2 linked regions of the Cricetulus griseus genome follow. The protein of the gene in region 1 purifies or fractionates together with the protein of each later gene. This does not show direct contact. Links are inferred from orthologs where the notes say so. Each region holds a gene or a part of one and is shown on either strand. Other genes may lie near its edges.

Evidence for each region.
Region 2: the proteins of Nrp1 (region 1) and Plxna1 purify together in Homo sapiens (affinity purification with western blotting; 4 studies listed by BioGRID). This does not show direct contact. The link is inferred for Cricetulus griseus from reciprocal best matches to the Homo sapiens genes NRP1 and PLXNA1.

Annotation. Positions count from the first base shown.
Region 1 is NC_048596.1:205,308,114-205,311,904, forward strand, and holds part of Nrp1 (neuropilin-1), read left to right. Parts: intron 1-879; coding exon 880-930; intron 931-2,896; coding exon 2,897-3,186; 3' UTR 3,187-3,791. UniProt on the Homo sapiens protein: Cell-surface receptor involved in the development of the cardiovascular system, in angiogenesis, in the formation of certain neuronal circuits and in organogenesis outside the nervous system. Mediates the chemorepulsant activity of semaphorins.
Region 2 is NC_048601.1:53,941,945-53,946,503, reverse strand, and holds the start of Plxna1 (plexin-A1), read right to left. Parts: upstream 2,967-4,559; 5' UTR 2,756-2,966; intron 1-2,755. UniProt on the Homo sapiens protein: Coreceptor for SEMA3A, SEMA3C, SEMA3F and SEMA6D. Necessary for signaling by class 3 semaphorins and subsequent remodeling of the cytoskeleton. Plays a role in axon guidance, invasive growth and cell migration.

The sequences.
Region 1 (3,791 bases):
TGGTACTGTCTTGTGAGTTTTTCCTTTAATGGCTTTTGACTACTTAGATATACAAACAAGGAGTGGTCTAAAAGGGCTGGTTGAGTCAGCAAGCTGAAGACCTAAGCTGGGATCCCTAGTACCCAGGCATAGATGTGTTAGCTCGTCTCAGCCCAATCTCAGCAGTGGGTAGGCAGAGACAGGTAGATTCCAGGAGCACGTGGGCCACCTCAATCAGTGAATTCCAGCTTCAGCGAGAGCTCCTGTCTCAAAAACTTAGATGAAAAGAAATCGAGAAGTGACACTTGATGTCAACCTCTGGCCGTCACATGCATATGTGTATAATTATATAATTACTCACAAAATATATATTATTGGACATTCTAGTCATGGAGGCTATGAGTGCTAACTATATACGAAGCATTTATTTGTACAAGTTTACCGAAGTACTTATTATGTGTTAGGCAAGATTTTAAATTCAGGGACATGTCAGAGAACACAGGACTGTACCCATTCCCAAGGCTCCACTTTTTCCATAGAATTTTATTTATTTCTGATAAAGTACAGGAGGAAGTTTCCTAGTTCAAAGAATCATTGTGCTATTTCAAAGTCCAGTTCAGTACACACCAACAGTAGGAAGCAGCCACCAGCATTCTACATTCCCTTTTGTGTTTCTTATTTTCATCAGTCTTCTACATTCCACATGCCAAAACCTGTCCCTCTGCCCTTCACAGTGTCTTAACCGCATTTATGAGTCATGGAGAGGGACACTGTGCAATCTGTACTCCTATGGAGGCCCAGCAGAGGGGTTGGAGGGTTTCTGTGCAGTTTGCGTGTATCATATCTGTTTTATTTTATTGGTGGTTTAAACATCTCTTTCCATTTTCTTTGCCTTGTCAGAACCAACAGACCTAGATAAAAAGAACACAGAAATTAAAATTGATGAAACAGGTAAATTCATCTTACTGATCAGCCTCTGTTTTAATTTCTTATTGCTTTTTGCTGTTTGTTAATAAACGTCACTGAAATCCTCAGACACTAGCGTATCCAAGCAGTTTAGACAAAATAAGTCCCTGTGTCTAAGTGAATGGGCATGGATTCGATCATTGTCACAGAGTGCTGTATGTTCTTAGCTGCCTAGGGGACTTGGGGGTGACACTGTGAGGTTGCACTCCACAGAGTGAGTATGCCCAATCCTTCCCTGCCTGAGCTTTTTCACTGAAACACAATCACAAAAGGGTGAATTGTGAAGACTATTCATGTAATCTTTTGAAGCCAACAAATCCTGTGTTCCGCCTCCTAGGTGGAATGTTGAAGAGGGCAGAAAGCCTAGCTTCTCTGAGGATCTTGTCCTGCTCCCTTTCCCTGGCCCTGAAGCCTGGGGGTGACATTGATGGTGGAAATTCCTAAGGGACTGCTGTACACTCGGAGCAGTGGAGACCCATCATCTTGAACCCTCTGAGCAGTTCCACAGGGCAAGCTCCCTCTTGTTTGACAGACAACAGAACTGAAACAAAAGTAGCACAGCTAATTAGGGATAGCTGTGGGTGTTTGATAACTGCAAAATGTGTGGCTTCAGCTAGCATTTCCTCAGTGCTCAGATGTAAGACTGAGCTAGGTCCTGGAAGCTTCCAAACCACCTGGCCAGCACTGCTCCCAGTTAGCAGGGACAGTGAAGCACCATTGCCATCTATTGCCTTTGGAAATGTGGCTCTTCTATATGTATGGCCAGCACAGACTGACAGAGACAATAGACACAGCTCTGTGCTGTTGGAAATATTAACACATTACCAAGTCCACACAGCTGTAAACTTTATTAGAAGTTGTTTCAAAACAATCTTTCATCAAGGGAGAGAGTATTAATATGCCCCCAAGGCTTGTTTTCCCTTGTTTAGGGACTCGCATCTCATATTTTTAGTTTGTGCTGATTGGAATCTCAGTTGATCAGAGGACCATTAAGTAAACACCACACAAGCTGCCCATTAGCATTTCAGTCCTGCTCCTAGCACCAGGTAATTAGGCTCAAAGCTCCCATGCTAATAACTTCTCATGTTCCACTCTAAAGCAAACACATCCCTAGTGACTCCTTCCCAGAGTAGTGTGACTGTTGCCAGCAGCATTATCAGGGTGGTGAAGATACTGATTAAATGTCTTCTACTTGGCACAACGCAGGCACTGTTTCTTGGTCGGAGCCACAGCCCTTTCTGCATGATAGGACTAGGCATTAGTGTATTCAGAAAAAAAAAAACAAACAAAGAAACAAAAAAACTCTCTTCCAGTATTACTAGATAGTTTGGGGTTTAAGGGTGTTTTGTGACTTTCTGTGTAAAAACCCACGGGGACACTAAGAACAGCATCTCATAGTGGCATCATACTGGGCCTGCCTGGGAAGTCAGGCAGAAGTCAGGAGAATGTTTAGATATGCCCACCAAACACAGTAGTTAATTGTGTGGCCAAGATTTGAGAAAACTTCATGCCTGCACATCTAAGGCTGGGGACGTAGCTTAGCTGCTGGAATGCTAACCCAGCATTCACTACACGTTGGGTTTAATCTACAGCAACATATGTATTAGGCATAGTGGTGCACGCCTACAATGCCAACACCAAAGCGGTGGAGGCAGGAGGATTGGCAATGCAAGGTCATCGTCTGCGCCAGCCTGGGCTTTAAACAGCCTGACTCACGCATGGCTACTCTCTGGATGAGAACTATAAACTCATCTGTCACTCTAGAGTGATTTCAAATAGGTTGTGACCTCAGTGTCCACCTCCAAATTCCAGCACCCTCACCTGCCATCCCTCCACTCCTCATGCACTGGAACATGCAATGGCTCCGTGATCCCTCCTGTTTCCCCTTGTCTTCTGTCTCCTCACATGTGGCCTCTCAGCGTTCACGAGTCAATCTTGTCTCCTTCCTCAGGGAGCACACCCGGATATGAAGGGGAAGGGGAAAGTGACAAGAACATCTCCAGGAAGCCGGGCAACGTGCTTAAGACCCTGGACCCCATCCTCATCACCATCATAGCCATGAGTGCTCTGGGGGTACTCCTGGGTGCAGTCTGTGGAGTTGTTCTGTATTGTGCCTGTTGGCACAATGGGATGTCGGAGAGAAACCTGTCTGCCCTGGAGAACTATAACTTTGAACTTGTGGATGGCGTCAAGTTGAAAAAGGACAAACTGAACCCACAGAGTAATTACTCAGAGGCATGAAGGCGTGGAGCTGGAGGGAGCACGAAGGACCGAGGTGGGAGGACAGTAGAGGCGCGGGGACTCTGTTGCTCTGCTCTCACTGTAAGCTGGAAAGGGCGTCCGTGACGCCATGCCAGGCTTTTCTCAGGAGCTTCAATGAGCGTCACCTACAGACGCAAGCAGGTGACTGGTAACAACCGGAATCATGTACAGCTCGCTTTCTTCTCTTGGTTTCGTTTGGATAATCAGAAGCCGGTTGAGACCCAAGTGTGACTGACTTCATGGTTCATCCTCTCTTCCCCCTTTTCCTCTCTCTCCTTACCCTGTGATGGATTCTTCTCGGAAACTGCAAAATCCAAGATGCTGGCACCAGGCATTGTTCAGTGGGCCCTTTTGATGGACATGTGATCTGTAGCCCAGTGCCCAGAGCATATTAGTGTAACCACGTTTCAGGGGACGCCAACATCCACTTTTGCATCGCTAACCCGCAGCGAGCACAGGGGGGGAGAAAAGAATTAGACTATTTTGTCTGCAAAGTACTGTGGCCTCAGTACCCATATAGCGTGTCAGCTCTGTTTACCAAGCAATACCGACAGATTTTCTTGATGTTTTACAGTGTTGTACCG
Region 2 (4,559 bases), on another chromosome or scaffold:
AGAGCAGATGCAGGGTGGTACCACCTTGCAGGAAACTTCCCAGCAGGCTGTCAGCTGCCTTGTGCCCCTTGTGTCCACAGGCAGACAAGAAGAGAGACACCCCCACCAGCTTCCTACCCCCTAAACCAAAGCAGACTAGACAGCAGGTTGCTTGCAAACAAAACGGGCCTGGGCTGAGCACTGATTCCATGTGAACTCCAAAGAAAACATGAATCACTCACCGTTTATCAGTTCAAAGCAGGCCTGCAATTACCAGGGGCTGGGCTCTCCCCTCCTCCGGGATAATTATACACGTCTTAATGCAATTACGGGCCCTACTTTTTATATTAAACAGGAGGGACCTGGCTGAAGAAGCCACCATCCAAACTCCAGCCTGGCCTTGGGCCCACTCCCCCGCCTCCCAACAGAAGCTAATGGGAAGGGATAGGCCTCAGGGCAGCCGGCCACGAAAGAGGGTATCCCAAGCCCACACCTACCACACACAAAGACTACCAGGGGCTACTTTCTCTAGTTTAGAGACTACACTCAGGACTCAGACAAATCCAAGGTCACACAGCCAGCCCCCGATAAAAAGGGACTAACCTAGAGCTATTGTAGAGACCCCAGGCAGGAAAGGGGCCAAGTCCACTCAGAAAACAGTATGTGCCTGCAAAGCAGGGCCTGATACTGGGTTCTGGGCCAGGCTGGGGGAGGGGAGCAGACCAGACAGGCTCTGGGTTCTGTGAGCTGCCTGGCCACCTTAGCTCCCAGAAGCTCCCAGAAGAGCCTTTGCACCTGCGTTAGAAGAGCCAGGTCCAGTGGATACTGGTGGGGTGGAGGTGTTCTAGAAAGGTAGTGGGGAGAACACACCTGCTGGAAATGCAGATGGGGCAGCACAAATGGTCATAGCTCCCAACATGGACAAGTGAGAAGCTGAACAGGAGGACTATGGTGGTACTGGGTGTGTACAGTACGGACCCAGGGAGAGAGGCCAGGCTTATAGGTGGGGCTTCAGCTGGGGCCACTCTGGAACAGGCCTCCAGTCGCCCACACAGAGCTGGTACCCTGCCCTCTCCCTGGATGACACCATGGTTCTTGCCCAGAAACAAAGACCTCAGAGCCTTCACATGGGGACAGCTTGCTCCCTGTGTCCTGATGGTCTGGAGCCTAATGGGTGTGGACAGGCTGGTCTAGCTGTCATCTCACCTAGTGGTTCCCTCTCAGCAGCCACAGGATTGCTTTGCCTTGTCACCCTGCCCCACCCTATAGGAGGTCACAGGAGATGGTCTCCAATGGCCCAATCTCTTCTACCTGGAGACTTTGGAGTCCTGCTCTCCAGAGAAGGTGCCAGCTTCTGGTCTTCCCTGGAGTCCCATACTCCTGGCCAGATGTGGCTTTGTCCACAGCATCTTGTCTGGCTCCAAACCCAAGAACACATAGCGCAGCCAACCTTGTACAGACCCCCAAGCCTCCACCCATGCTGTCCTCTGTGCCTGAAGACACTTTTGGTGGGCTCCAAGCTGCCACTTCCCCACTGCCTGACAGCTTGGCCCTGAAGCAGAATCCCTGCTTTGCACCTCTGCCCAGGGCACTAGCTGAGTGCTTCCCAGATCCAGCAGACTATGGGCCAGCCTAATGCAGCACCCCGACCCCCTGCTTACCCCCAACTAGAAACTTGGGAAATTGGGGGTGTTCCCAGAGGGCTGGAGACATATAGGGTAGCACCACCCCTACAGGACTGAAGACCGAAGCACCTGCTGGAGGGGTAGGTAGCACCAGGGGACAGGAAGCTGGAGGTAGGAGCTTGGCTGAGGGGCAGAGGCTCAGTTCCTTCCCATCCCCCCCCAACACACCCCTTTCTTTCAAGGGGCGTGGCCCCAGCACCCCACAGATGAGCCTGAGACAGCTCCTGGCACTAAGTAGCCCCTCAGAAGCCTTCTCATCCCCTTCCAGGGCTGCACCTGGGGTCTCTGCAGGCAGAGGGGCCTCCCTGGAGTCTACGCTCGCCCTTCCCCGCAGCAGCCAGAGTAAGCCCACCACCGCCACCGTCCTCGCCGCACACCAGGCCTGGGGCCGTTCAGGAAGCAAGGGGGGAAGCCTCCAGAGAAGGAATGACCCCGTGGAGGCCCTGCGCAGGGGGAGGCCGAGGAGGCCCGAGCCGGCGGCCTCTCTGGTGGCACCGCACCTCCCCTTGAAGCTGCCGGTTGGAGGGCCTGCGGGCCGGGGGTGGCTGCGGAGCTCACTCGCGCTCCGGGGCCGGAGGGGGCGGGGGTCCCCACTAAGCCTTGCAACTTCCACCCCATGGCCCGAGGCCGGCCCAGGACGCAGCCTGGGACCTCCCCAAATCCCGCGGCCCTGCCCAGGCCTGCCCAGCGCGGCGCTCGCCTGCGGCCCACGTCCCCACCCGCGGCCCGGTCCGACCCGGCGCGCCACGGGCCGACATGGGCACCCGCAGGGCCCTCCCCGCGGGGCCACTGCAAACTTTCTCTTCTGCCTGGAGGAGGGGGCCGCGAATGCGACCACAGACATTGCGCCGCCCGGATCGCAGGGCCCCGGACGCGCTGCGACCCGCCGGGACGCGGCAGCCTTTCGCGGAGACCGCGCCCGGACACACGCGGGCGCCCGGCCGGAGCCGCAGGACACGCCAGCCGCGGACACGCGCGCCGCAGTCCCCGCGCACACCCCCTGGCCACCGCCAGCGCCCCCCCAGCCACTCGGGACCCCGGGCCGCGATGAGCCTCCCGCCGCCCGAGGGGAAAGTTGCGCCCCGACTCACCCGACAACCCCGGGCGCGCCCCGCCACCGGCCATCGCCGCGCCCTGCCGCTTGCCCCTCCGCGGGGCCGCCCACGCCGCGCAGGCCGCCCAGGCCGAGGCCGCAGCGCCCGGGCTCCGCTCCGCTGCGTGGCTGCGTCGCCGCTGCCCAGCATGAATGGGGCGCTGAGCGCCGCGCGGCTGCGGACCGGCCTCGCTCTCGCCGCCCGCGGAGCGCTGTGCCGCGCGCATGCGCCGCCCGAAGCCGGGGCGGGGCTGGGAGGCGGGGCGGGACCCGCGATGGCCTGCAGAGGGCGCTCGGCCCCGCGCCGAGAGCGCGCGCGCCGGGTCCCACCGCTTGCCTTCAAAGGGCGATGCCACCCACCTAAGCCTTAAACTCTGGGCTGGTGTGGGGGTGGGTGAGGTGGTCGGGGTGATCCCAGGAGTCTGTGCACTCTATAACGAGCACTGCCTGGAAGCAGAGCTTTCGTCCACGGAAGGGTAAACTGAGGCTGGAAGAAGCACTTGCACGGGTCATATTGCTCATCTCGTCCCGAGCGCCCGATCTCTTAGGTGGGACGGGCACTGCACCTCGCGGGCCCCAGGCGGTGGCACGTGCCAAGATGCCCAAGCTCAGGAACAACTGACCAGTCCGGTACGCGGTCCTGCAGCAGGGCGTGTTAAGACCACCCCAGCAGGGTAGGGACAGTGCCAGGCAGACCGTGGGCGCGGGCTGGCCTGCAGAGCTGGGTGCACCCGGTCTGGGGTGTAAGGAGAACCCGGTGCAAAGCAGCCAGACCAAAGCGAAACAGGCAGCTGCGCGCAGAACGGAACAGAGCAACCACAAAAGGTGGTCGTGGGAGGGGCGAGCGCTGGCTGGGCACAGTCTGGGGGACCCAGTGCAGCTCACCCGGTAAGGACCATTGTCCCTACTTATTCCTCTCCCAGGAAACCATCACCCTCTTTCCCTGTGATCCTTGCCTGGCTTTTTCTCTGGGTGTGACCATTTATATTTTGTCTTCCTGAATGACATATTCTTTTGTGTAGCCTATTTGGGGATGCTATAGAAATGGGGTCCCACTATCCTCTCTGAGAGGAATGCAAGGGCTCTTGGACTGTGTTTGCTCTCACTGTGTGATGTGAGCCACTCTGGCAGTTAAGCCTCCCCTCTGCTGATTCCCTAGGACTCCCCACTCTAGACCCTGGAGTGAAGGGTCCTGGTAGGTGTGTGTTTAGCTTCAGCGGACACTGCAAACTGGTTTTCAGCAGTGAAGTCCCACCCCTCTGCATGGTGGGGAAGTGTCAGTAACAGTGGCAAAGGGTTTGCTTTGATTTGGGCAGGCTGAGGGTAGGCGCTGGTTCTCCATGCCCCTGAATGGTGGTGAGGCTCTTCTCTCACAGTCAATGTGCCGTCTGATCCCACAGCACTACACGCTGAATGTACAAATCTTTGCTGTGCTGTGCCGATGAGGTGGATTGAGACTGCATCGGCCATATGACCTGCCCAAGTACCCTAGCTGGTTGGTGGCAGAGTCTGGAGTCTAGCCCAGGGGTCCAGCTCAGACCATGGGCTTCTCAGTTACACACCTGGTACAGAGCTGACATGACTGCTTCATGTGTCTGACTGTCTGTCCATTCCACAGCCTGACCTGCCTCACACACTCAGTAGTCTACTTGCAGCACCTTGGGGGAGGCAGCAATGTGAAGGCCACTGCTGGCCTGGGGATGTGCTCATCCAGTTGTTCCCTGAGTTGCCTCTGTTTCTTGGCTCCAGAGGCTGGCTGTCTCTGCCCACACCTGTCCCGTCTTCTTTGCAGACCTGTCTTC